7 linked regions of the Canis lupus familiaris genome follow. The main gene of each other region encodes a partner of the protein of the gene in region 7 in a complex. Links are inferred from orthologs where the notes say so. Each region holds a gene or a part of one and is shown on either strand. Other genes may lie near its edges.

Region 1 (2,203 bases), on a different chromosome or scaffold from region 7:
TATCCATAAAAAAGAATGAGATCTTGCCATTTGCAATAACGTGGATGGCCCTAGAGGGTATTATGCTGAACGAAACAACTCAGACAGAAAAAGACAAATACTATATGATTTCACTTATGTGTGGAACTAAAAAAACAAAATGAAGGAACAAACAAAACAGAAACAGACTCATAGATACAGAGAACAAACTGGTGGTTGTCAAAGGGGGTTTAGGGGGATGGGCAAAATGGGTAAAAGGGAGTAAGAAGTACAGACTTCTTGTTATGGAATGAATAAGTCAAGGGAATGAAAAGTACAGGGTAGGGAATACAATCAATGATATTGTAATTGGGTTGTGTGGTGGCAGATGGTAGTTACACTTTCGGTAAGTATAGCATAATATGTAGACTTGTCAAATACTATGTTGTACACCTAAAACTACTATAACATTGTGTATCAACTTCAATTAAAACACACACACATGCACGCATGCACGTACACACACACACACACACACACACACACAGATTGTTGGGCCTCATCCCCAGAGTTTCTTTTTTTTTCTTTTTTTTTTTTTTTTAATAAAAACAATCCCACAGCATTTATTGTCCTCTGGTAAGAACATAAAGGTAATCAAAACAATATGAACAAGGGTTTTAGAACTATATTCCCAACAAAGGACATCTAAAAAAACAAACTACGTGGCCTTCTCAAGAATTTCTCACTTCACTGATCATTCATTCTAGTTGGAGACACTTTGGAGCAGGGTAATATTATCTCCTTTTAGCATGATCCGACCCAGTTGTTTTCTTGACTTTGTTTTAGAATGAATCTCTTTGGCATCGTCTAATACAAGGCTCATGTACTCATCAAAACCAATGATACAGCCCTCTATCCGCATGTTTATTTGCTCATAAAGCCACACCTGAATCCGAGATCTATTTTGCAAGTATCTGAAGATGAGGTTGATGGGCTGAACCATCACCTTCTGCACTTTCTGGCCCTGGCCACGGTACGCCATGGTGGAAGCGGACCCCAGAGTTTCTTTAATACATCTGCAACAAGGCCTAAGAATTTACATTTCTTTTTTTTTTTTAGGATTTATTTATTTATTTGTTTATTTGTTTATTTATTTATTTGAGAGAGAGAGAACACATGAGTGGGAGGGAGAGGGAGAAAGAATCTAAAGCAGACTCCCCACTGAGCATGGAGCCCCAACACAGGGCTTACTTAATTTCATGATTGCAAGAACATGACCTGAACCAAAACCAAGAATCAGATGCTCAACTGACTGAGCCACCCAGGTGCCCCAGAATTTATATTTCTAACAACTTCTGAGGTGGTGTCAATGCTTCTGGCTTAAGGATCACTCTTTGAGAAACTTAAGAAACAAACAAAAATGTATGGGATGCCTTCCTGTGTACCTACATACACCTGATTGGAGCTGCAGAATAAGAGAAGAAAGAGAAAGGGGCAGAAAGAATATTTGAAAACATAGTGAGCAGATCTTTCCAAATTTGATGAAATACATAAATCTACACATCCAAGTTATTATAGTCCCTATGTAGAATTGGCTCCTGCAGATGAGAACTCTGTCCTGGCTGACACCTTCATTACAATCTTGTGTGGCCCTGTAGCATAGCACCAAGCTTGGCCATCCCTAAATGCCTGCCCACAGAAACCGTGAGATAATGAGTATGTGTTCAAGCCACTAAGTGTATGGTTATTTGTTACCCAGCTACAGAAAATTAATACACTAGTCTGTCTGGCTCCTGCAGTCTATGCTCCTTGTCCCTTTCCTGATTAGTTAAACATATCATGAAAGGCAGTAACTGAGGAGTTGGTAGAGATTATAGACTTTCAGAGTTCCAAGAAACTCACAGGGCACTAGTCCAGCACCTCTAAGACATGCAGATCCCCTTCCTCAAGGGAACATCTAAGAAAATAGGGATATTGGGGATCCCTGGGTGGCTCAGCAGTTTAGCACCTGCCTTCGGCCCAGGGTGTGATCCTGGAGACCTGGGATCGAGTCCCTCATCAGGCTCCCTGCATGGAGCCTGCTTCTCCCTCAGCCTGTGTCTCTGCCTCTCTCTTCCTGTGTCTCTCATGAATAAATGAATGGAATCTTTTTTTTAATTAATTAATTAATTTATTTATTTATTTATTGGAATCTTTTTTAAAAAAAGAAGAAGATTGGGATATTGAACTATAAGATGGTGATCTG
Region 2 (4,347 bases), on a different chromosome or scaffold from region 7:
CCCTCTGGAAGTACTGCTGTTCCTCAGTGGTCTGTTCATGTCCTCTGGATCCAGGGACCCTTTAACCACACTCCCACTGCAGTCTTCCAGATTCCAGGGTCAGGTCCTTTAACTGTCCCCCAACTGTTCTCTAGCCCCCAAATTACTGCTTTAGGCTTCTTAGCTATTACCTGTGTCAATTCATAGGTCTAAAGACCCCTAAACACAGCCCTGATACCATGCCCCCTCAGCCCTTCATCCCTGGAGTCCAACCTTGCTAGTGACACCCCCCATCATCCCTCGAAGACAACCTAGCTGTACACCTGCCCTAGTTTGTCAGCAATGGGATTCCTAGCATAATCTTTTCCCCAGTGGAAATGGAATATAATACCATGCTATGCTGTTTTTATTTTCTCCCAATATGCATGATATATCTGTTTGCTGCAGCCCTTCAGGTGCAGACACTATGCAGTATATGCTTTGTGTCAATGTCACCCTGGCTCCCCATGCACATCCAAGTCCCTCGGTGACCCTGCTCCCATCTTTGGCTTGCCTGATGACTGTAGACCAGCTCTGGCCCATGCAAATCTTAAAAAAATAAAAAAAGAAGATTTTATTTATTCATGAGAGAGAGAGAGAGAGAGAGAGAGAGGAAGGGGCAGAGACATAGGCAGAGGGAAAAGCAGGTTCCCTGCGGGGATCGTGATGCGGGACTCGATCCCAGGATCCCAGGATCATGACCTAAGCCAAAGGCAGATGCTCAACCAGTCAGCCACCCAGGCGTCCCTCACCATGTTATATTTAGTATATTAGACCTCCAGGTCAAGCAGGTGGCTGGAGATTTTGGCCACGAGTTAAATAAAGCACCCAGGGTTAGAGGAATAAATCTGAAATTCCTGAGCATTTAGGTAGTATTCACAAGTCATAGGACTGGATGGGATTGGTTGATTGACTCATTTGTTCATGGAAATATGTTTAGAGCTAGGCATTGCGGTAACGAAAAATACACAAAGGAAAATCTATACCCTCAGAACTTGCATCCTAATGGGGAGGAATAACAACAGAAACACGGTATATTAGGGATCACCATTAAGGAGGAAGATAAAGCAGGTAAGGGCGGGAAGGCTGCAGTTTAAATAAGGATGGCCAGGGAAGTCCTCAGTGGGAAAATGTTACTTGAGCTGAAGTCCTGAAGGATGTTCGGGCAGGAGTCGTGCAGGTACCTGGACGACTAGCATTGCAAAGGTGCTAAGGCAGGAGCTCGTCCAGCAAGTTCACAGAAAAGGACAGGCCAGGGAAGAGCGGTGGGACCTGGAGACCCAGAGGTAATGGGGAGGGGCGTGCGGGCAGCTCCGGAACCGATTGAAGCTAGGGAGGTGACCTAACATCCCGGGAAATGTTGTTTGACGTTAGCCCCGCCCCAAACTCCCGCGGGCGTCTAGGCTCCCAGGTCGGCGTTTTGGCCGGAACTCAAGAGCCGACGCCGGGCCGGAAGTAGTTTTTACCCGACCCCATTTTATCCGCGGCCGCACTTCCGGTAGCGGCGGCGGGAAGCGGTGTAGTAGCGGGCGTCTAGGCCTCTGCTGAGGGCAATCCGGCGGGAATCGGAGCCATCAGAACCGCCACCATGGTGAGGACGGGCAGGCCGGCTGCGCGGGAACTTCCGAGTCTGTCGTGGAGTGGGCACCGCGGCCGGTCGGGAGGAGGTCGTGGGTTGGGGGCTCATGGCGGCGAAGGCCCGGGCCGCAGCCGCCGCGTCTGGGCGGGGGAGACTCGGACCGTGGCCTTTGGACGGGTTGGGGGAAGGGAGGGCTGGGGCCGAGGGACGGAGGCCGGGGCCGCTAGGTGGTGGCGAGGATGGGCCCGCGGCTGTCCACGCCGCTGTAGCCACGGTGCTTGGGATCCTGCAGGCACGAAGTAAACTTTTGCGCAATAAATGCGCGTTTGGGGTTTCGGAGCAGACATAAGAGCCTCAGGAGGACTCGTGAAACGGGGTGAGGGTCTGAGGGGGACTTGCGGAAAGCGGGGAGGACTTCTGGCCGAAACTAGAGAGCGTGCTTGGGTCTAGCAGATGGGAGGAGGGAATGGGAGGGAAACCGAAGATGGAGGAAGGGTTCAACTCCTTTGTGGGGCAGGTCTGTGTGAGCGTGTCTGGCTTCTCAGGCACTGGGGCTACTCCACTCCTTTCGCTTTCTAGTTGCGGACGCAGGTAATATGATCCAGAGTGGTAATTAAGCGCTGCGTAAAAGTAACGGGGCGGGGGGGGGGGCGGGATAAGAACGTTTTCCTGGAGTAGATGGTTCCTGAGCAGAGTCCTAACAGGTTGTTACAGGAGTCTCCCCAGCCTCGATGGAAGGGAGTATTGTAGATTGGGAGGGCTCCAAGAGCAGGGCGTGAAGGGCCGCACTGTTGAGGGTTCCTGGAGGGGTCGAGGGGGAAGGGATGGAAGAAGAGATGGGAGGAATTGGCAGGAACCTGGCTACTAAAGGCTTTCCATGCTGCCTGATCCCGTTGGTGATGAGGGATGCCGTGGAAGGATGTAGCCAGCGAAATGACGTGGACGCAGTTGTGTTTAGAAAGAGCGCTCTGTTCTGTGGCTGTTGCGTGTTGGGTGAACCGAAAGCCGGGGATTGTTTGTAGGATTGGTTTGGAAGAGTAGGCACTGGATTCAGTCTGTCTAGGTTCCAGACCAGCTTCCTGGCTGTGAGACGGGGCAAGCTACTTAACCTCTCCTGACCTCAGTGGCTGCATCTGTAAAATAGGAATAATAATTAGCCTGGTTTTTAGAATTAAATGAGATATTTAGAGACTGCTGGGTGGCTCAGTAGTTAAACATCTGCCTTGGGCCCAAGGTGTGATCCTGGAGACCCGGGATTTAGTCCCACATCAGGCTCCTTGCATGGAGCCTGCTTCTCCCTCTGCCTGTGTCTCTGCCTTTCTGTGTCTCTCATGAATAAATAAATAAAATGTTTAAAAAAATAAAAGATATTTAGTGCTTGTCACAGTGCCTGGTACGCAGTGAACGACCAGGAAGACTTACCTATTATAAGGTGGACAGACCAGTAAATGTTGCCATAAGGCTTCAGATCTGTGTGGCTAGAATCTAGAGGGCAGATTTAAATGGGGACACTGGACTCAAGTTAACCAGCTTGTAGCTGGTTAACAGTCATTTGAGGGAGAGTGAGCCACATAACTTGTGTCTCTAGGCAAGGCTCTGATCCACACATTGGTGGGTTGAAAAACCTGTTCTTGTCCAAGCTTACAGAGATGAACAGCAAGCACAGTAACTGGCAAGAAGACGACACTTGGAAGGCTGATACACAAATCAAATGCCAGGTTATTTCTAGAGAGGTATAACTGCCAAAGGCACCTGGCAATTTGCGTTGTGAGTTCTATTTAGTCTGTCTTTTACCAAAGCTACCTTGGAAGCCAGGCTACAAACCAGAAAAGGTTGTTGGATTGATAAAGAAGTTTAAAGACCATTATGTGTTCAAACTGATGAGCACCCTGGCCACCAGAAAGTTTCCCTCCCAAAGACAGTTTTGGAGGCACATTAACATTTTTCGTTTAGGGATTCCATTTGCCTTGCCTCCAAGCTCATCAGCTCCTTTCTGATAATAGATTCTTGCTGATTGGATCCTTAGTGCCAATCATTCCAGCTGTTTTACTCGGTCCTTTAACTGGGCTGTGGGTGTTCCACAGCACTGGAGTCACACACCTGTAACCTGCATAGTGGCAGATGGCTAATCTGGTATGGGGGGATTGGATTAGTTTGGAGATACCTTACTCCTCACCCCTGAAACTGACACAGCAGACACACAGGCAATTGTGATATGAAAAAGACTGATTTTAAGGGAGAGTAAGAGAGTTGTGGGCAGAGGTCTGGGCTGAACACTGGGTGTGGGAGAATTCCCCGGGAAAGGAAGACAGAGCTGAGAAGTTGTTGAGAGAGATAGCCATGTGGAAAAGTAGGCCAGAGCTGGTTTTTAGGAAGGACCAGGGATATATAGGTTCAAAAGAGCTTGACTCTGATCCTGCTGATTTCTCCTTGCAGACTGTGGGCAAGAGCAGCAAGATGCTGCAGCACATCGACTATAGGATGAGGTGCATCCTACAAGACGGCCGGATCTTCATTGGCACCTTCAAGGCTTTTGACAAGCATATGAATTTGATTCTCTGTGACTGTGATGAGTTCAGGAAAATCAAGTGAGAAGTGGGCTGCATGGGGGTGGGATTTAAATTGTGAGGGAAATGGACTGGGTGGGTGGGCCAAGCAACAGGTAGTGATGTAGCCAGCTGGTTCCTTGGTTTGCTCTCCTGTGTTAGAGGGCAGATTTAAATGGGGACGCTGGACTCTTAAGAAATCTC
Region 3 (4,157 bases), on a different chromosome or scaffold from region 7:
AATGGCAAAGACAATCTTCATGGAGAGCAAGGTGTACAGCCAGAATAGAGAATTAGAATAAGCAAACACACTAGCTGATCATCACTCAACGCAAATAAGACAAAAACAGCCCCTATGAAGGCTGGACCAGACAGAGGTATCATAAGGGGTGGAAACTACAGGCTGCACCTGCTGTAAACTTCCAGCTGCCCAGAAGTCAGAGAAAGCAGCCTCTGTCTCTCTTGGGCGCTAAGCCAGAGTGGGCTGCCGAAGCCCTCTCTCATGGCCCTCTCATGGGTACTGCCCAATTTCTTTTCCATGGCCCTCTCCTCCATAAGCTGCTCCACCACTCAGCCACGGTCCTCTTCCTATTGGACGGCCCCACCATCCCCTGACATGGCAATGTCTCCGCCACAGTGTGCTGGCAGTGTTTACTTCCCCAAATCCTTCTGCCACAGTCCTCTGCCCTCAGGGTCCCTAAGGCCCCATGGACTGTCTAACCACTCTGTGTAGCTCTGGGTTGTGCCCAGCCCCTCTCCCACCAGCCGCCACCACCAGTGCAAGATGCTCTCCCACCCAATGCTGCTGCTTTCATCTATGGGCAGAATGAAGAATATAAGGTTCACCTATTCATCCTTGTTCCTCATCAGCCCATAATTCTCAGCTTCTGGGTAAAGAGACCGGTTCTGCTTACTAATCTTATACCCATCTAGAAACAAGAAAACTGCCTAAACTTTTTGCTTTTTCTCCCATTCCTCTGTGCTTTGCCCTAATCCCACAACACCACACAGGTGTAGGCCAGAAGGGCCCTGTGATCATGGATTACCCTTGGGTTTGCAGGAGCCCAAGGAGTCCAACATGGTAGTTTCCTGTGAGTAAGTCTATTCTGGTGTAGGCACAGGCTGAACAAGCCTCACTTAAAAAGCAATAAAAATAGACCAGAATCCCCAAGACAGCCTCCTAAATCATCTAACTTCTTGGATTTTCCATATTGGGAGCTCTATAACCATGTCCTGGGGCTGATCTAGACTAGAGCAGAAGCTCCAGCCCTCCCCATGCAGGGAGCCCAGTCAGACTAGAATAAAACAAATAGACTTTGTGAGGCCACAAAATGTATTAAGCAAGCATAATTTGATGACCCAGAAGGCAGGAAATGAAAAAGGACTTACTGTGAGAACACACAGATAATGTCCCCTTCAGTCAGTTCATAAGGAAGCCCTCCTAGGAGAGAAAACCACATTTCAGTTCCACAAACATTTACCAAGCATCTCCTCCATACCATGCACTAGGCCCAGCAATGTGGGTGCAAAGAAGAGTAAGCCACAGGGCCTGCCCTCAAAGAACTCACAGTCTGACGATTTAACAGAATCATATATAAGGTGCGGCACTAGTGCAGCAAAAGGAGTGATTAACTTTGTGGAAAGGTCAGTGTCATCACTAACCAAATACTCCCCACACCCAAAACCTTGCAAAGCAGACAGTTTGCAGCATAAAACTCTGTTTCCACAAACATATCTTGAACTCACCTGCTCTTTTTTTTAAGATTTTATTTATTTATTCATGAGAGACACAGAAAGCGAGGCAGAGACATAGGCTGAGGGAGAAATGGGAGCCTGATGCAGGACTCAATACCAGGACTCCAAAATCACAACCTGAGCCAAAGGCAGACGCTCAACCACTGATCCACCCAGGTGCCCGGAACTCACAAACTCACAGCTAAGATTACAGCAAAATCAGTTTAAATATGAAAATATTACCCCACCTCACATAGACTAAGGAATCTTTGGTTGTCTATAGACAACTGTTCAGCATTTCATAGGAAATAAATTCCCCTGCAAATCTTTCGTTCCTCATCTGTAAAATGGGGATATTAGTACTTATTTCACAGAACTGTTGTAAGAATTAAATAAAACAATGGACATAAAGTGCTTAGCACAATATCTGGTGCAATAACTTCTTTGCCCAAACTTTCATATTATTGGATGCGACACAAGTGAATACAGAGATGACAATATGGCCACGGACAGAAGGCAGAAGTTAAGTAAATGAGGAAAATGAATTCTGAGGGAAGGAGAAAGGGCGGGGGGGGGGGCGCTAGCAGTAATACAAGATGGTGGTTAAGATCATCAGTTCTAGAATCCCATAGTTCTGGTTGTTCCACTTATTACCCATGTGACTTTAAGGAAGTCCATTAACCTCCTCAGCTATGTAACAGGGGGGCGCGGTATGATAACAGTCTCTGAAACCAAGTGGCAAGGACCACAGTGAACGGCAAAGGTAACTATTATGGTCACTGACTTGGCAGGAGGAGCAAACTAGAAATGGAAGAGAAAAGAGATACAGAAAACGGATTTACGGGGCAGCCAGAAGAAAGAAATCTAAGTGCGTGATGAACGTCAGAAGGAAGGAAAGGCGGGAATGCTGAAAGGTTAGGAAGCGCACCAGGAGAGAATGAGCAGTGCAGAAAGATGTGACTCTCACCCAGGAAGATCCAGGCGCTGTCCTTGTACTCAGAGTGCCAGGACACCTTATCTGCCACCCCAAGCTGGACCTCACGCTCATTCAGCTCGTTGATCAGCTTCACTTTAGTTAAAGGGCTGCAGAGAGAGGCGGAAAAGCGGCCGTTAAGTGCGGCCTGGCCAGAGGTAAGGGAGAGCAGAACTAGAGGGCTAGTTCTCCAGTCTCCGCGCCTCTCCCACCCCTCGGCCCCGCAGGCTCTCTACCACCCCAGCCCCGGTGGGCAACTTCCCGCGGCCGGTCCCTACTTCTTAAGAGGTAAACTGAGGCCTTACTTCATCTCCTCAGGTTCGCGCTCAGCACGGAGACGTTAACTTCCGGGTGAGTCTGTGTCGCGCGTGCGCAGCGCCGATGCCGTGCGCCCATTGGACTCCGCGGAGTTCGCGCTGCGCCACGCCGGAAAGACGGGCGCGCTGGGGAGCTGCGCTTGCGTAGTAGCGCGGAGAGGCCCTTGGCTCGCTCTGCGTGTTTCGCTCTATCAGGGACTCTATCTAGCTTCTCGCTTAGTCCGTCTGTGAAACGCGGCATGGGTGTGAAGCGGGTTTATTACAGGACCCTCAGCTGCTGGAGGACGCCTGGCATTGATTGGGCTAGCTATAAATGTTTACTGAATTGAGATTGAAAAAGGTGCTGCTCTAGCAACTGTAGTCCCTGGCTCTATCCTCAGTGAAAATCCCCTTTCGGGCTTCCACTCCCAGCCAGTCGCTCACGCACACACACCCCTCAAACCATCCCTGATCAGAAATTGCAGCAGAAAAGTGAAGAAGGTATGTGAGAGGGGAAATCATTTTTTTCTCCCTTAAATCCAAATGCATAGGCAACTAACCAGTCTGATCGAATACCCAGATTTGTCTAAGAGCTCACCCTTTTCCCATAGTCTCGCTCCTACTTAAGCAGGAGGCAGAAATAAATAATGAGAAAGCTAATAGTTAAGCATATGCTACGTTGTGTGCTAAGCAATTCACTTGTACTGGCCCTCCCTCCTCATAACTAACCCCATGGAGTCTATACATACAATTACCTTCCTTGTACCGAGGAAGAAACTGAGATTCGAAGGAATTAGTTAACTCAAAGGATGTCCTCTGCCTCTACCTATCAGGTCTTGTTGACTTACTCAGTCCTTACTGAGGATCTATATTTGTCTTGTACAGTAAAATCTGTAGACAGGAATGTAAGGTGAAGTCCTCTGCCCTCTGGAGCTAATGATATCATTAAGGAGACAAAATATATTTGCTTGGTAGATTTCACTCCAGAAATAATGAGGAACCCATAGAAGGTATGGTGGCATACCTTCAGTGTGATATAAGCCATATTGAAGTTTTGAATCCATCTCATATGTGTCCATGTCAATAACTGGTATCAGACCATGCCTGGTCTAAAAGTGAAGTTCCAGAGCTGGGTAGTTCTCTGTGTAGGCCCAGCTTAGAGCCCCAGAAATTAAGCATTTCATAAAAGTACTTTGATGATGGGATTATGACAACTGTACCCTCAATGACCCATCATGTACCCACATCCTGACAAAAGCAGGAGACTCTCCACCAATCAAAGTTTCCCTTCATTCATTCTGTGTTTGTGCCCCCACCCCATCCAGCTCAGCTATTCATTAACTTTATGGAATTATCTTGGCAATGAAAACTAAACAGTGACAGATTGCATACAGG
Region 4 (3,608 bases), on a different chromosome or scaffold from region 7:
CAATCTGCAATATACATCCAACTGGGTTGTGTAAAGTACCTTCTTTTAACTTTGAAGTTGGCCTGTGGCTGGGATGGACCAGTGAGATTAAGGAGAGGGTTTCCACTCAAAATGTTTTCCATACGTATTCTTTCTTCTTCAGCTTTCTGTTCTTGTTCCTGTCAATGACAGAGGAGGACTCATTTACTTACATTAATTCTGGGGTCAATCTTCTTTCATAACTCAAATTTTAAAAGATTGTTAGGATTTTATGATGGAGAAGGAATAAGCATCAAGGTAGGTTGTTTATTGTTTTGTTTTTTAAGATATAAGAAATACCAGAAAAGTTTCACTTACCAAAATAATTTGGCCTTATAATAAATAGTTCATGCTTGTCTACATTCATTAGTCTGACTCTGAAATTCTATGAATGCCTATTTAAATGTTTTCTTTCTTGAAGTACATCCAAAATTAATTGCTTATTTTAAGAGTCCATCAATAATACATTCTAGTCATTTAAGGGTATGTTAAACATCAAAGAAACACATTTAGCAAAGCTATTACTTTGATTTTTAAAGATGGGCTATATAGAACTATGATTAAAAATAATTTTATTTTGAATTATTAACAGTGTAAATTTGCACTTCCAGGACTAGTGATAAGTTATTATTAGCCCATAAGTAGCTAAAACTATCATGTAAAATATTATATTCAGTTAACATGCATTTCTACTAATCTACCCCACGTTTATCCATTTTGTTCTTATGATTTGTTACTAACTTTCCATTTTCATACCTCTCATCCTTCATCAGTTATGAGCTTGTCTTTCTTTACTTTTAATTTAGCATTAATTTCTTTAAACTCAAATCAGCCTCAGTTTCATTCTTAGAATTAGAAACATAAAATGCCTACAATTCTTAGCCATAGCAACTGCTAGATCTACCTGTTCATGCTCTCTTAAACCAAAAATAAATCCCACTTTATTGTATTTTAGGAAGGGGAAAACTGATGACTTAATAGATCAAGGAAAAAGAGACCTTCAATTTATTTTTTTTTAAAGATTTTATTTATTTGAGAGAGAGAGCATGTGTGCAAAGCAGCAGGGAGAGGGAGAAGCAGGCTTCTCGCTGAGCCAGGAGCCTGACATGGGGCTTGATCCCAGGACTCTAGCCTCATGACTGGAGTTGAAGGTAGATACTTACCTGACTGAGCCACCCATGCATCCCCAGGGACTTCCAATTTAAAACGAACCTAACAGGGGCATCTGGGTAGCTAAGTTGGTTAAGCATCTGACTCTTGATTTCAGCTCAGGTCATGATCTCAGGGCAGTGAAATCTAGCCCTGCATCAGGCCCCACCCTCAGAGGGAAATCTGCTTGGGATTCTCTCCATCCCCTGCTCACACACACACTCTCTCAAATAAGTAAATCTTAAAGAAAAAAAACAAAGCCTAAGAAAGTTCAAAATTTTCCATACAGGTTAATGATGTTTCATTTTAATATCCAAATGTGAACAACAGATTTCATTTTTAAGAGGCCAAATGACTGGAAAGTGAGAAGATGCAATAATCAGGGAAATAAACAGGTAAATTCCTTTAGGTCACTACTCAGACCTTAAGCAAACAAAATCAGGCACATGTGTTCCATCACAGATTAAGAACAGATAGCTTTCTAAAAACAATGTATTTTTTTGCAAATTATATTGATATTGAAAGTGAAAAGACATTTCTCTGAGATTCTAAAAAAATAAGAGCTCAAACATACAACGTATCCATCTTATAATAATGTATGTGATATAATAAAGTTCTGGCCATTTTATATTTGGAATATTACTTCCTTTAGAGTCCTGGCTGGCTGCCACATAAACCACTGGGAAAAAAAGGTGCCAACTCTTTCCATATTCAAGTCCCAGAAACATTATGGTTCACAAACACAGGCTATAATCAGCTTGCAGATGAAATCCAAACCACCCCATTGTTGTTAACAAAATTTTAGTGGAACACAGTAAACTCATTCATTTCTGCATTGTCTATAGTTGCTTCCACACTTCAGTGAGCAGAACTAAAGAACCACACTAGAGATTGCATGGTCTGCAAGCTAGAAATATCCTGAAATATTTACCATCTGGCCCCCTTTACAGAAAGCTTCCTAGCCCCTGACACAGGCTAATTGGTTTGAAAATGTTATATTGGGACACTTCAAAAATCAGCCGCTAGAAAACCAGCCAGGGAAACAGAAACCAAAGTAAAACTGTCCTTCAACCCCTAGGAACACCAATATATTTTTGTACAAAGAGAGTAGAGGAATCTTACAAAATTCCAAGACCTTCTGTCTAAAATATTTATCCTTTTTAAGGGTCAACCAAATGCACCTATATTTCTTGTCTCTATGTATCCAGAGCTGTTAGGCAAGTCAAAAGAATATGGAATACAACTGCCCTCTAGTGGTGGGCAAGTAATATCTACTATCAGGAAAGTTCTTATAATTCTTTGATTTTTAAAAATTAAATATGACAATTATAAGCTATTATGGGAATCACGCTATCCAATGCCAAACTTTGATGGAAATTGTATTTAAAATATTCTTCTTGGGCAGCCTGGGTGGCTCAGCGGTTTGGCGCCGGGTCAGCCCAGGGTGTGATCCTGGAGACCTAGGATGGAGTCCCGCATCGGGCTCTCTGCGTGGAGCCTGCTTCTCCCTCTGCCTGTGTTTCTGCCTCTCTCTCTGTTTCTCTCATGAATGGACAAATAAATTCTTTGAAAAATAAATAAATAAAATATTCTTCCAATTTGAATTCCAGCAATCTTCTACTTCTCTGGATTCCTCACATGAACCCATGTCAGTCTTTCCCCCCTCTTTAAACAGAGTAATTCTTGGTTCAAATGAAAATTTACACAGAAGCTCATAAAAAAAAAGCTGAGCTGTTCTGTTTGAAAGTGGAGACAGACATCTCCATCTAAGTATCTCATAATGTGTCAAATTCAACACGTTCCAGAGCTCATCATCTCTTTTCTCTCCACCTAAACATGTGCATCCTTCTGCCATCCCCTGTATTAGTTAATGTCAACAACATCTACCCAGGAACTGAGGGTCATCTTTGTTGCCATAGCTAACCAGTCACTTTATCTGGTCAATTTTACCTCCTTGACAACTCTCTCAGCATCTATTTACTTCTCTCAATTCCAATTCTATTATGCAAAATTATCTTAATTGCATATGAGGATTATTGGAACAGCTTCCTCAATCAGTTTTCCCAATCCTCTATACTTCTGCCAGGGTTATCCTTCTAAAATGCATAGCCAAGTAGATGACTATTAAATTTATTATTTATATTTTTCTATGTTACTGAAATATTTCATAATAAAAAAATAAAATGCATATCAAATCTTGTCTCCTGCTAAAATCAACTAGCTCTTCATGGCCTTCAAGACAGAGTCCAGGGGCACCTCGGTGGCTCAGGGGCTGTCTACCTTCCACTCAGGTCGTGATCTTGGGGTCCTGGGATCGAGTCTTGTATCAGGCTTCCTGCAGGGAGCCTGCTTCTCCCTCTACCTATGTCTCTGCCTCTCTCATGAATAAATAAATATCTTAAAAAAAAAAAGAAAAAAGAATAAGACAAAGTCCAAACCCC
Region 5 (4,281 bases), on a different chromosome or scaffold from region 7:
TTCCCTGTGGCCCTGCCAATGCAGTTAGTCCCTTCTGCTCTCACAGGGTACCTACTACCCCAGCCCTCTTTTCAGATACGGGTAGGGCCCCTGGTGTCTAACTACAACTTCATGTGATCTGAAGGAGGAAAGAACTTTGAGTGAAGGTGGGGAAGAAGGCAGACAACAAAAAAAAAAAAAAAAAAAAAAAAGAAGGCAGACAACATGAAGGGCAAAGACCTCCTTCTGACAGACTTATTAATAGGGCATTGGGCTGCATGCAGCTGACGCTTGGCAGTACTTTGGTTGAAGGTGGGGGAGGGGTCAGAAGTATGGGGAGCTGTGTACATTTCAGGGAAGAATGGGCCTGGCTGTCCTGAAATGGGGGACACCTGAAATGGGTGGCTTGGTTGGTTAATCAGAGTTTGACTCTTGATCTCAGCTCAGGTCTTGATCTCAGGGTCATGAGTTCAAGCTCTACATTGGGCTCCACATTGGGTGTGTAGCCTACTTAAAAAAAAAAAAAAAAATCCACCAGTGAAATCCTGAAATGGGGCAAGGAAGTAGACTTGAAGAAAGTTAGACTCCTGGAGCCTGCTGAAATTTATTTGTGAACTGAGGGGGAAAAGAGGGTATCAGTCTAAGGAAAGGTCAGGAGGTTCCTCTTCATCAGAGTCAAACTCAACATTCTCATCTTTTACCCATCGACCTTGTCCATCTGGGATCCATCCAGAGCTGCAAATAACAGAAAATAGAATAAATCAGGAAAAGAGGTTTAAGAAGTTAATGGGGATAAGAGAAAAACAATTGAGAAGGATTGAAATAAGAAAACTCAGAAAGAAAAGAGAAAACTTGAAGAAAGTGATTCTGCATACAAACCTTCGAAGGGTGAGGTAATGATCCAGGGCTCGTTTCCTCGTGGGGCTCATGGGCACAGGGGATGAGACAGTTGCTGACTCCTTGGCCTGTGGGCCAGCTCCAGGCATGGGTTCCTTAGTGATCTTCCCACTCTCAGGCTCAACCTCTGGGGGTGGTAAAGGGGGATGGGAGACAGAGGGACGAGGGGTTTCTGGTCTAGGTAGAGAAGAATCAACGTCTATAAAAGTAGTAAAGGAAAAAGGCCAATTCTCCTATGACTCCCAATCCCTTACAGAAGTGTTTCCTAAACTGTGTTCCTCAAGATATTAGTAAATGTCTTGCATAAAAAAAAGAATTTTGGAATCATATGAATTTTTAAAAGGCTAGTATAACATTTTGAGGGTTTTTTTTTTTTAATCTTTAGACTTTGTAGAGCCCTTCGAATATATTAATATTACTACTCTTCAAGTAGGATCACAAAGTGCCATTTCCTGGGGCACCTGGGTGACTCAGTGGTTGAGTGTCTGCCTTCGGCTCAGGTCATGATCCCGGGGTCCTGGGATTGAATCCTGCATTGGGCTCTCCACAGGGAGCCTGCTTCTCCCTCTGCCTATGTCTCTGCCTCTCTCTGTCTCTCATGAATAAATCAGTAAAATCTTTAGAACAAAAACCAAAGTGCCGTTTCCTAAACTTAAAAAAAAAAAAAAAAAGCAACATTCTCTTTTTTTTCTGAAATATCAGTAAACATCTCTGGAGTATTAATATTCCTGAGAATACAATTTGTAATACCTTTATCTTAGAGCCATCTATCTCCTCTGACCCGCCCTACCTCTGGCTTTCCCACCCCACAGACCTGTGCTTCCTGCGGCAGCAACTGTTATAGTGAGGAGCTCTGTGCAGAGCACTCTGGGTGGTAAGTCGGGTCTGCGTTAACAGAGGAGCCTGGTGTGGAGATGGGAAACACAGTCAGTGTCTTCAGAGCTAGAAAGAAGTCGAAGCCCTTCAAGCCTAAGATGTGCAGCAGGCCCACCCAAAACACACCCTCCCCTCCCTGATTACCTACCTCAGCCTTGATCTCTGACTGCCTCAATTCATTCTGCTGTCTTGGATTCTGCTCCATTCCCTTTACTGGCTGCTTCTTGCCATAGAAAAGCTGCAGGCCTGAAGGTAGAGGGGAAGAGAATTAAAAACAAAACCGCAAGAGTGATCTGCAGAGATTTGTCTTCCCTCACTTACTGGACAGATGTTTCTTGCCTGCACGGTGGGCAGTCAGCATGGCCAGGGTGTCCAGTACAGGTCGGTGGGGACAGATAGCACAAGCGAAGCTGGAGAGGAGGGTAGAAGATATTCGGTGCCAGGTGAGTGGGGTCTGGTTCCACCTGGACCTAGCAACCCTTTCCAAAACCAAACTCTAGGGTCTCCCAATTTCCACCACCCACATCCCTGTCCCTCATCCCCCATCAGAAAATCCTAGATACTCCCGCTCCCCCCTTGATAACAAAATTATACGAAGCCTATAACCGCAGCACCCTCGGGCTTGATCACCCCTCGCCCTCACCGTCCATCCCGTAGCATGAGCGCTTCATCCTCTGGGATATAACTGGCCAGCAGGTCCCCGACTCTCCGTTTCTGCAGGGGGTAGCCGGACGGGACCAGTGGGAGAGGAGGGAGGGGTCAAAGATTGAAAGGCAAAAAGGACCATGAGAACAGAGATCACTGGGCGAAGAAGGGGTCACTACCCAGCTCTGGTCGCGCCGGCCCCGCAGCTGTTGCCAGAGCAACAAAACAGCTCCTTCACGGGGCAGTGAAACTGTTCCCGATGCTCCCCTCTCGCGCTTACTTTGAGCACATTGAGTTGACTCGAATCATCCCCTTCCCTCTTGAAAGACATTACGACTGAGCTCCAGAAGCGAACAATTCTCCCGAGCCGCCTCGGCCACTCCTCTCAGGCCACCGTAGCGAGAGTAAGGCGTCTTCTCCCGTCGGGTTTCTTTCCGGTTGGCCTCCTTACTTCCCTAGATGCACAGCGCTCGCGGAAAGCCCGCCCACAGCCTGCGGAGCCGACCGCACTGCCCACGCGACCCGGCGACCCCGCAGGCGCGGGGCGTTTTGGGAAATGAAGTCTTTTTTTCAAAGGGCTTGCCACCCAGCTGGCTCCCGGCCCTTGCATCTTGGCTGATTCGAGGCGTCTGGGGAGACAAGAACTTAAATGTGGAGACCGACGTTGAGGCCGTGACGGATTTGCTGAGGAGCGGGCCTTGGAAGATCTCTGAGTGGAACGTGTAGTACAAACTCTCGCGGTCCTCACGCGCCTCCCTGGCCGCCGACAGCCCACCAGGAGGGGGCTGGATTTATTCCTGACACAAGCCGACCAACCCGGGACGAGGCGGGGCCGGGGTGTGAAGGGAACCTGGGAGGCGGAGGCTGCCTGACCTGGGGGAGAGGGGCGAGCTGAGCGGAGTGTGGAGGGTAACTACGGTTCAAAGGTCAGAGTTCATAGTGGTGGGAGGGTTGAAAGTCAGCGGGGTGCTAATAAGGAGAGACTCTGGTAGGGACTGGATCCTCGGGATACAGATTCGTGGGAAGGCGCCTGGGAAGCGGGACAAACGAGAGCCGCGGGGGCGCGAAGTGCCGGGGCAGACGGGGGTTTGTGAGAGGAGACGGGGGAAAGGAACCCCCTGGATAGACGTCCCTCGCCCCCAGCCCCGTGGCTGTCGGCACTTAGCCAGGCCTCCCTCACTTGCAACCCCAGCTGCCGGCGGGGTGAGGAGATGGCTTCGTCCTCTAGACAGGCCCCCCTCGGGGGGTCAGGACTGCTACAGGGGAGCCGGGCTCGTTCTTACGGAAGCCTGGTGCAGTCAGCCTGCTCCCCGGTGAGGGAAAGACGCCTGGAGCATCAGCTGGCCCCCGGAGACACCCTGGCTGGACTCGCACTGAAATACGGGGTGACGGTGAGTCTTCCATGGTAGGGATGCAGACAACCACTCAGAAGAGATTATTCCTCATTAGAATGTAATGACCCGGCTAGGCAACTTCCCCTGAAATTTCCTAATTGTGTTGTGGTCTGACCCACCTTTATCTTTTTGTTCTCCCATCTCAGTGTTGCCTTGTCTGGTTGGGACAGACCCTGTGCCACTATCCGGGTGGAGAGGAGCTGCTTCTATTTATGCCAGTCTCTATTCTAGAGGTTTTACATACATTGGCCCATTTGGTTCTCCCATCCCCGTCAAGCATACGTTTGTTTACAGATGAAGAAACAGACTTAGATTGGTTAACCAATTTGACCAAGGTCAAATAACCAATGAGCATTAGAGTGGGAATTCAAACAGATCTGACTCCAAAGCTCGTAATATTAACCACATGGAAACTTTTTAATTGCAAGTGATTAAACATTTACAGCAAACAGTGGAGAGTTGGTTTCTAAGGTTCTTTGTGAGACCAGTG
Region 6 (4,367 bases), on a different chromosome or scaffold from region 7:
ATCACATTAGTTTAACTCAAGAGTGATGGGGACCTCAGGTAGGTTATTTAAGGGGTAAATGAGAGGCTAGGGAAAATATGAGCTATTGAATGGAAGTAACAATAGCAGGACAGGCAAGTGTTTGGATGCAGGTTGACAAAGGGATACCAGAACGAATGAGCGATGAATAAGGCTTTATGAATGGGTGACTGGGAGGACTGCCATGCCATTAAATGATGGAAGAGAAGTTACAGATTTATAAAGTAGGATGACAAATTCAGTCTTGGAAGTACTATACTACTATGTAACAACCAGATGAAGGGTCCCAGTATTGTCTGGAGAAATTTCTTCTATTGGTCTTGGTATAGAGAGAAGTCGGCTGGAGATGTGGATTAGACATTCACTGGCATGGATAAACTACTTGAAGCCAGATATTTCCAAAACAAAGAGTCAAAAGAAGGGCAGATGTCGATCACTGGGAAATATCTACTTTAAGGGAGAGGGAGAATAAGAAAACTTGGAGATTATAATGGTAAAGAAGAAGAGAAGTAAATTCAAAGAGAATCTAGATCAAGTTTCAAAGTCACAGAGAAGCAGAAAGGGACTGAAAGAAAGGTCTTTGAATTAAGAGTCTATTTTTATTTGGGGAATAAGATGGTACAGAAGGTAGAAAGGTACTAGAGCAAAGAAATAATACAGACTTTCAGAAGTGCAGAGAAGTAAAAAGCAAATGACCTTTATGACATATATCACGTCCCAGAGCCAAACTATGTGTATTTTAACATCACATCCGATCTTGGCTTCTCAAAATTTTTATGTGCCTTAGGAAATTACCTCTCAGAATTTGCCCAGTATCCTCAATTTTCCTGGGAAAAAAGCACTTATGGTGTAAAGAACATCACACAAAACAAGTTAAGCCCGTCAGAATGCCAGGCCTCTAAAGTTAAAATGTACCGAATTAACACAAATTACAAAGAAGGCTAATTTACATGTTTAGGAACTACCCTACATAAGAGAAAAGACATGGAGAAGGTGCATAACCTAAATATATGTAAGACATAGTTACTCAAACAAGCAAAACCAAAAAACCTCATAAGTATTGGATGGAGTAGAGTTAAAAGGACGTCAATGTCAAACAGCTTAATGTACTTTTTGGAGCAATGAAAATATTCTAAAATTGATTGTGGTGATGGTCGCACAACCCTGTGAATACGCTAAAAATAACAGAATGGCACATTTTAAATGGGTGACTTCTACCTATGCCAATTGGTAGAACTGCAATAATTTTTTAAAAGCTTCATGTGAGATGATGATGTAAAGCATAGAAAAATGAAAATATCAGTCCCACTCTACTCCTCATAAAATGGAGCAGAGTTTAATGCTGAGTGCCACATACTGGGAGTTATGATAGGAATAACCAGTTTTTGAGTATACACTAAGGCACTTTTATATCAGGCTTTACCTGCATTATCTAATTCTCACAAAACCCCATAAATTATGTATTATTCTCATTTTTCAGAGGAGAAAACTGGAGCCAAGAAATATTAGGTAATTCACCATGGTTATTCCTTTACATAATGTAAAACCTGTGATTCAAACTCATGGGTGCCTGTGTTTAAAGGTTTATCTACTGGGGGGGAGGGGAGAATATAAACAGAATTGATCAAGTTAATGTTAATCCAGATAAGAGGACTTGAAATCTTGTTAAGAAAAGTCTAGCCTGAGGAAAAAGAGACTTAGGGATATGAGAGCCGTTTTAAAACATATAGACAGTCTGTGACATCAAAGAAATCCTAAGATACTTTCCAGAAACATCAAGGGTTTGCATTAGAATCACTGCCTGGCAACTGTAGGGATGAAGGATCTTTTCTTTTCTTCTTTCTTTCTTTCTTTCTTTCTTTCTTCTTTTTTTCTTTTCTTTTCAGATTTTATTTATTTATTCATGAGAGACACACAGAGAGAGCCGTAGAGACACAGGCAGAGGGAGAAGCAGACTCCATGCGGGGAGCCCGATGTGGGACCCCAGGTCACGCCCCGGGCTGAAGGTGACACTAAACCGCTGGGCCACCCGGGCTGCCCAAGAAGGAACTTTCTAAAAGCCAGTGGCATCTACGCAGACTGTTTTGAAGGTAGTGAGGCTTTCTGAACCCTGCCTCAAGACCTCAGATATTCATGCAAAGAACATTTAAGTCAACATTTAAGGATGCTAACTTCGGGTTGCTCGTTAAAATACAGGATGCCCTGTTCAATTTAAATTTCAAATAAACAATGAATGGTGTTTTAGTATTGTCATGTCCTAAAGGTAAGCCCAAAGCACTTTCAGTACTAAGAAGCTGCGAGCAAAGACAAGTCTCAAATATCGCATGGGATATACTTCTAAAAAAAGTATTCATTTTTAAAATGTCTGCTATATCTGGAAACTCTGGGTGTTGTAAAAATGACTTTTAAGATCCATTCCAATGCTGAGGGTCTGTGAGGCTAAGGAGCCAGTCAAGAGCTGTATGGGATGAAATCCCGGGGTGGGGCTGGGGGAGGCAAAGGAAATAGACAAATCAGTACAAAACTGAGAACACTCCGAATGCAAAACCAATGGGAACGGTGAAAGGGATAAAGGACAAAGGCTGGAATCAGAGACTTGTGGCCGAAAGAAAAGACAAAGAAAAGGCGAAGTCCCCGGAGAACTCCTGCTAGCTTCTCCTGGCCTCCTCCCAAAGAGTCAGCCCCTTAACTCACATTTTTCGCACACCATCCTTCCCCGACGGTTCCCCCGGCCGCAGAAACAGCAGCAGCTCGAGAATGTCAACACAACAGCCGGGGCAGACGTCCCCTTCCGGGTTACGAAAATCCGCTTCCGGCCGCCCCGCCCTCCGCCCCGCCCACCGCCCCGCCCACCCCACACCTGAGAGGCCGTGGGAGGCGGGGCTTCTCCCATTGCCCGCCCCTCCGCTCCTGCAATTGGCTGTGCCGCCTTGGGTCTCCGCCCCACAGGCTTGCGCCTGCGCGTTGGCCAGGGCGGCGAGTCGTACCTGATGGTGGGAGGTGGTAGCTCGCGCTCCTCTTCCGCTGGCGGGAGAGTTAGGTAAGCCCAGCGGCGCCCGCCCGGCACGCGAGCCTCCCGGGGTGCCAGCGGCCCCCACCCACTGCCCACGTGGCCGCGAGCGTCTGTGCCCCCGGCCCGCTGGCGCCCGCCGCCCGCCCGAGGGCCACCCTTCCGGCGTGACCCGGGGGCAGCCCCGATGGACCCGGCCCTCGGATCCGTCCCTGTGTGTGGCGCCCTCCGTTCGTCTCGGTCTCCGCGCCCGTGCCCTTTTGCTTATGCCTCTCAGCGCGGCCCCGCCCCCGTTCACACTGGCGCGGGGTGAGGCTCGGGCAGAGTCCCGAGCGGCCGAGGTTGGCGGGGGGCTGCAGGGGCAGGTGCCGCGGGTTGCGCGGGTAAGCTCCGCAGCCTCCGGGGCGGTGGGCGCGGGCCGGGTCCGACCGCGGGGGCGGGGGCGGGGGCGCGGGCGCTGGCCGCCGGGGTGTGCTCGCCAGGGCCCACCCCCGCGGCTGCTTTCGCGGGGGGGCAGACCTTTGGCCCACCCTCTTCTCCTCGTTCGTTCGTTCATTCATTCAGTAAGCAGTTGGGTGCTGCTCCGTGTATTAGAGCCTCATCTGCCCATATCACTTGGGATTCTGAGAGCGGCCCAGAAACATACCCGAAGGGATAGTCCGCTCAGACGGTGTATTCCGGATCCTGCGCCCCTGCCCCTTGGTCAGCGGATCTGCCAGAGAGGTTTCCTTCCTCCCTTCTTGCTCTTCATCCCCTTCTCGGCCCCTGGAGTGTAGATTTATGTCAAAGAGGCGAGGGTTTGACGTGGCTATAGTGCTTGGGAGCTTGGGACCTTGGACATGTCTCCCAACGTGCCTTAGCCTGTTTCCTTATCAGTAGAATATTTGCCTTGGAAAATTATAATGTGAACTAGATCAGAGCTGTAAAGATAAGGCCTTGACTTGCCCTTTTGTTTTTCTGGAATATTCAACCACAGTGTAACATGGGTAACATGTGGACTGTTACTTTGATATTAGCCAGTACTATGTATAAGCTCTGCGTTAGGTAATTTATAAATAAACATATATGTTATACATACCACGATGTGTATTTTATAGAGAGAAAGAAAGATTTTTCTTCTACTTATGCCCTACTTTTGATTGGAACCTAGCACCTGTAACGGACATTGTCATTTCGGTATTTCTGGAGCATTGGGATCCCTTAGTTTAGCATAATGTTCTTTGGCCTTTCCTGATTACACTGGCCACCATTTGAGTCCTGAAGTGTGCACTTGGTATTGCTTGTCATTTGCCAGAAGAGGTGAACTACTGTGATGTTAGACAAGGGTCCCTAGTGGTTA
Region 7 (4,125 bases):
CACCAGCACCGGGGTGTCGTACTTGAGCAGAGAGTCCGCAGGGGGGATCATGGCGGCGACGCGGGTTCGAGTCCGGCGGCCGCCCCTCCAGCGTGCTCCTTGTTTGCCGTCACCATGGAAACCCCCCGGCCCCCCCGCCGCGCCTCGTGGCCTGGGCGGGGCTTCGGATGGGGCGGGGCCAGCAGCGCAGAGTTCCCGCTCAGCCTCGCCAGGAATTCTCCTCCCGCTCGGTTGATCGCGGTTCCTGCCCCGCGGGTCGCCTTGATGCTCCTGGAAAACCACGCCAAACGGGAACGGAGTCCCCACGCTGCGGCTCGCAGGCCATTGCAACGAGGCGCACGGTCACCTTCGCTGGCCGCCAACTTTGTCACCTGCAGAATGGGAGCCCTGTGACTCCTCGGTGGAGGCTTGGGAATCTGCAGATTCCCAGAGGGAGGCACCTGCAGCTCCCCGGTTTCTTTTTTTTTTTTAATTTTATTTATTCATGAGAGAGAGAGAGAGAGGCAGGGACACAGGCAGAGGGAGAAGCAGGCTCCACGCAGGGAGCCCGACGTGGGACTTGATCCGGGGTCTCCAGGGTCACGCCCTGGGTCAAAGGCAGGCGCTAACCGCTGAGCCACCCGGGGATTCCCGGAGCTCCCTGGTTTTCTTTTTAAAAATTAAAAATAATTTTTTTGCTCCCCAGTTTTAAAAAGTATTTGTGTTGGGGCGAGGGGCACCTGGCTGGTTCAGTCAGTAGAGGGTGAGACGTCGATATGGGGGTGGGGAGTTCCAGCCCCACCGCTGGCTCTAGAAAGGACTTGAAAATAAAAAGTAAAAAAAAATAAATAAAAAAAAGTAAAAAAGTAAATAAATTAAGAATTCATTTTTTAAATTAAATGGAGAAGTGACAACATAACACGAAGCTCAGGACTAGCAGGGAAGATAGTAATGACTTGCCCCCACCCCCCCGGGGGGCTGTCAGTGATTGCATTTCCTTCTCTGTTTCCTCTTTTTTTTTAAATATTTTGTTTATTTATGAGAGACACAGGCAGAGGGAGAAGCAGGCTCCACGCAGGGAGCCCGACGTGGGACTCGATCCCGAATCTCCAGGATCCAGCCCCGGGCTGCAGGCGGCGCTAAACAACCGCTGAGCCACCCGGGCTGCCCAGAAGCGTCTCTTTGACGTTTAAAACTCCCGCCACCCGAGCGGCTCCCGACAGCCCCTCCCGCTTGCAGGGTCGTGGTCACGTGCTTCGCTCGCCGCCGCAAGGGTTTCTGGGAGAGCGCGCACCCGGAAGCGGAAGTGCGGGGGGTCAAGCCCGTCGTTTCCTTTAGCGAGAGGAGCGCAACGGATCTCTCTCTCTCTCTTTTTTTTTTTTTGTTTGTTTTGTTTTGTTTCCCTCCCCCGCTTCGCTCTCTGCTCGTATCTCAGCATGAAGGAGGTAAAGAGCGAGCGGGAGCGGGGCACCCGGCGGAGGCACCGCGACGGGGACGTGGTGGCGGCGGCGATGGTGGTGAAGGTGAAGCAGGAGCGCCTGAGCCCGGAAGCCGCGCCGCCCGCCCACCGCCGCCCCGAGTCCTCGGGCGGGAGCGCGTCCCCGCCGGCCGGCGACCCGGGCCGCCCTGGGCACCGCGGGAGCCGAGCCCGAGGAGGCAGCCGGTAAGTGGGGGAGGCGCCCGGGATGGGGACTTGGAGGAGGGGCGGGGCTGGCGTCAGAGCCCCGTTTTGGGAGCCGAGCGCGGCTGCTCGGGTTTCATGTCAAAGGGGGTGGGGGGGGGGTGAGCCGGTGGCGCTGTGCGGGAGAGCGTTTACGGCGGCCCCTGCCTGATGCGCAGGATCCCGCCCCCCTCATCCCTGCGCCCCGCATCTGCCCGGACACCGCGCATATGGACCCGAAATAAAGGCTCCTCCGCATCTGCCCGCACATGGGCTGCCGGCCTACTAGGCCTTCCAGACGTCTGCCCCAGAAGCCCTCCGCCTTGGCAGCCCAGGCGATCCACCTGGTAGGCAGTTGGAAGAAAAACCATCTCTTGCTGGACTGCTCCGTGTATTCCTTCGACTTAAGTTGTGAGCGCGTTGCTAAAGGAAGAAAGACAGCCGTCGCTCCTGGGGCCTCGTGCGGCCTTTGCCCCGGCGAAATGGAATGGGTGTGCTCCCGCCTCGAGACAGAGTAACAAGGCCGATAAAATAGTTTCCGTATGTAACAAGTATTAAGAAGCGGCTCCAACCGGAGGTGTGAGAGCGAGCCTTGGAAGGAAGCGAGAGAAGGAAGGCCCCTCTGAAAACGTGCGGTTTGCGTTGAGACCCGAACGATAAGGATTGTCCAGGCTGGGGAAACCCATGTGCGCAAAGAAGCTGAAGCCCGGTTAATGTGATTGTTCTAGAAGTGGGAGTGCGGGGTGGGGGTGGAGAGGGGTCGTTTAGGGATCAACGGAGGGGAGAGAGGCGATCTAGAGCCGGAGGACTGACTCGCTGTCGGATTGACGTGGTTGTTGCCGGAGAGTGTCGGGAGCTATTGCTGGGGAAAGGAAAGGGGAGTCACGGGGGGTTCTCTGGGTTTTTTGGGCTTGAGAAGCAGGGTGGATGGTGATACCCGTTACTGAGATGGCAGAGGCTGAGGGAGGAAAGGGCTTTGAGGGGTTGGGAAGCAAGAGTCAGGCTCTCAGAATGCTCCAGAGGCAGCTCTGTGTGTGTGTGTGTGGGGGGGGGGGGGGGTCTGAAGCTCAAGGAGGGTGTCCCGGGCTGGAGAGCGGAGCTCCCCGCCTTCCTTGGTGTGAAAAGCAGAGCCCTTCACTGGATGTGCTGTTTGTATTGTTAGTAAGTAAGCCTGACACTTGACTGTGAGTGTATATGGGGGAAGGGAAATTGAGATAAAATCCTGTGTGTACCCTGCTCCAAAAAGGTCCCCAGCCAAGAGGAAAAACAAGTCCTCAGGGAGAAGAAGCAAGTCTCCTCGGAGTAAGAGAAGCCGAAGCCCTCACCACTCGACAGTCAAAGTGAAGCAGGTAAGCGGACCGAGATGTTTTGATACCAGGTCCAAATCTAGAATCTCTTACCGTCCTGACAAATACATGATCCTAGGTGTTTACCTTTATCCGTAGCGGGTGTTTCTAGAAACTGGGTTGTTGTTGTTTTTCTACTTGTTTTGTGACACCTTTTTAAAAAAATTTTGAGAATTGTTGATTTACACACTCAGCTGTTTTAAAAAATAAAAAATACAGAGGTACGTTCTTCACTGTGTTTTTCCCACTGGTAGCATCTTACAGAATTCCAGTGCAGTATCACCGGGAGGGTATTGACATCGTGACAGTTAAGATGCGAACATTTCCATCCCCACAAGGACCCATTGGGTTGTCCTTGGATAGTCTCACCCGCCTGTCTCTCATCCTTAACCCCTCAAGTCCTGGCAACTTCTAATCTGCTCTCTGTCTCTATAACGGTTGTCACTTCAAGAACATTATGTAAATGGAATCATGTAAATGGAATCATCCGTCTAACCTTTAGGGATTGGCTTTTTTCACTCAGCACATTTCTTTGGAGATTCATTCAGCTTGTCTTTGTCAGTATTTGATTCCTTTTTTATTGCTGAGTGATACTCAGTGGTGTGGTTTTAACCCTTTACCCATTAAAGGACAAGTGAGTTGTTACCAGTTTTTGGTTATTGTGTATATAAGGTTGCTGTGTAACATTTGTATACAGGTTTTTGTGTGAACACGTCTTCAGTTTTCTGGGATAAGTGCCCAGGTGTGCCATTGTTAAATGGCATGGTGATTGCATGCCAGACTGTGTTCCAGGAGGGCTGTGTTGGTTTTCTAGGGCTTCCATAACCAAATACCACAGACTGGATACCTTAAACAACAAAAATTAATTTTCTCACAATTCTGGAGGCTAAAGTCCAAGGTCAAGGTGTTAGGAGGTTTTGTTTCTCCTGACGCCTCTTTCCTTGGTTTTCGAATGGCTACCTTCTTGGCTGGGTCCTCACATGGCCTCTCCTCTGTGGGCTTGCATCCCTGGTGTCTCTTCCTCTTCAGATAAGGACACCAGTCATATTGGATTAGGGCTTTGCTGTCAACTTAATCATGTCTTTAAAGACCTTATCTCAAAAAAAGAAAAAAAAAAAAGAAACCAAAAACGGATGCCTG

Evidence for each region.
Region 1: SNIP1 (region 7) and small nuclear ribonucleoprotein E-like share a complex: the UniProt entries of both Homo sapiens proteins name them as parts of the minor spliceosome. The link is inferred for Canis lupus familiaris from reciprocal best matches to the Homo sapiens genes SNIP1 and SNRPE.
Region 2: SNIP1 (region 7) and SNRPB share a complex: the UniProt entries of both Homo sapiens proteins name them as parts of the minor spliceosome. The link is inferred for Canis lupus familiaris from reciprocal best matches to the Homo sapiens genes SNIP1 and SNRPB.
Region 3: SNIP1 (region 7) and RBMX2 share a complex: the UniProt entries of both Homo sapiens proteins name them as parts of the minor spliceosome. The link is inferred for Canis lupus familiaris from reciprocal best matches to the Homo sapiens genes SNIP1 and RBMX2.
Region 4: SNIP1 (region 7) and CWC15 share a complex: the UniProt entries of both Homo sapiens proteins name them as parts of the minor spliceosome. The link is inferred for Canis lupus familiaris from reciprocal best matches to the Homo sapiens genes SNIP1 and CWC15.
Region 5: SNIP1 (region 7) and SCNM1 share a complex: the UniProt entries of both Homo sapiens proteins name them as parts of the minor spliceosome. The link is inferred for Canis lupus familiaris from reciprocal best matches to the Homo sapiens genes SNIP1 and SCNM1.
Region 6: SNIP1 (region 7) and CRIPT share a complex: the UniProt entries of both Homo sapiens proteins name them as parts of the minor spliceosome. The link is inferred for Canis lupus familiaris from reciprocal best matches to the Homo sapiens genes SNIP1 and CRIPT.

Annotation. Positions count from the first base shown.
Region 1 is NC_049222.1:93,813,261-93,815,463, reverse strand, and holds small nuclear ribonucleoprotein E-like, read right to left. Parts: upstream 1,020-2,203; 5' UTR 1,001-1,019; coding exon 722-1,000; 3' UTR 560-721; downstream 1-559. UniProt on the Homo sapiens protein: Plays a role in pre-mRNA splicing as a core component of the spliceosomal U1, U2, U4 and U5 small nuclear ribonucleoproteins (snRNPs), the building blocks of the spliceosome.
Region 2 is NC_049245.1:19,125,548-19,129,894, forward strand, and holds the start of SNRPB (small nuclear ribonucleoprotein-associated proteins B and B'), read left to right. Parts: upstream 1-1,451; 5' UTR 1,452-1,606; coding exon 1,607-1,609; intron 1,610-4,033; coding exon 4,034-4,185; intron 4,186-4,347. UniProt on the Homo sapiens protein: Plays a role in pre-mRNA splicing as a core component of the spliceosomal U1, U2, U4 and U5 small nuclear ribonucleoproteins (snRNPs), the building blocks of the spliceosome.
Region 3 is NC_049260.1:102,430,686-102,434,842, reverse strand, and holds the start of RBMX2 (RNA-binding motif protein, X-linked 2), read right to left. Parts: upstream 2,906-4,157; 5' UTR 2,777-2,905; coding exon 2,772-2,776; intron 2,577-2,771; coding exon 2,461-2,576; intron 1,201-2,460; coding exon 1,149-1,200; intron 1-1,148. UniProt on the Homo sapiens protein: Involved in pre-mRNA splicing as component of the activated spliceosome. As a component of the minor spliceosome, involved in the splicing of U12-type introns in pre-mRNAs.
Region 4 is NC_049242.1:6,122,889-6,126,496, reverse strand, and holds part of CWC15 (spliceosome-associated protein CWC15 homolog), read right to left. Parts: intron 159-3,608; coding exon 40-158; intron 1-39. UniProt on the Homo sapiens protein: Involved in pre-mRNA splicing as component of the spliceosome. Component of the PRP19-CDC5L complex that forms an integral part of the spliceosome and is required for activating pre-mRNA splicing.
Region 5 is NC_049238.1:60,887,542-60,891,822, reverse strand, and holds SCNM1 (sodium channel modifier 1), read right to left. Parts: upstream 2,873-4,281; 5' UTR 2,729-2,872; coding exon 2,678-2,728; intron 2,467-2,677; coding exon 2,396-2,466; intron 2,163-2,395; coding exon 2,074-2,162; intron 1,999-2,073; coding exon 1,901-1,998; intron 1,780-1,900; coding exon 1,691-1,779; intron 1,054-1,690; coding exon 859-1,053; coding exon of another isoform or gene 715-858; coding exon 615-714; 3' UTR 554-614; downstream 1-553. Other genes in the region: TMOD4 (tropomodulin-4), read left to right, coding at 713-876; LYSMD1 (lysM and putative peptidoglycan-binding domain-containing protein 1), read left to right, coding at 3,609-3,788. UniProt on the Homo sapiens protein: As a component of the minor spliceosome, involved in the splicing of U12-type introns in pre-mRNAs. Plays a role in the regulation of primary cilia length and Hedgehog signaling.
Region 6 is NC_049231.1:49,890,899-49,895,265, reverse strand, and holds the start of CRIPT (cysteine-rich PDZ-binding protein), read right to left. Parts: upstream 2,839-4,367; 5' UTR 2,729-2,838; coding exon 2,713-2,728; intron 1-2,712. UniProt on the Homo sapiens protein: As a component of the minor spliceosome, involved in the splicing of U12-type introns in pre-mRNAs. Involved in the cytoskeletal anchoring of DLG4 in excitatory synapses.
Region 7 is NC_049236.1:4,999,144-5,003,268, forward strand, and holds the start of SNIP1 (smad nuclear-interacting protein 1), read left to right. Parts: upstream 1-1,280; 5' UTR 1,281-1,415; coding exon 1,416-1,642; intron 1,643-1,782; exon of another isoform or gene 1,783-2,323; coding exon of another isoform or gene 2,324-2,325; intron 2,326-2,885; coding exon 2,886-2,988; intron 2,989-4,125. Other genes in the region: DNALI1 (axonemal dynein light intermediate polypeptide 1), read right to left, coding at 1-51. UniProt on the Homo sapiens protein: Required for pre-mRNA splicing as component of the spliceosome. As a component of the minor spliceosome, involved in the splicing of U12-type introns in pre-mRNAs. Down-regulates NF-kappa-B signaling by competing with RELA for CREBBP/EP300 binding.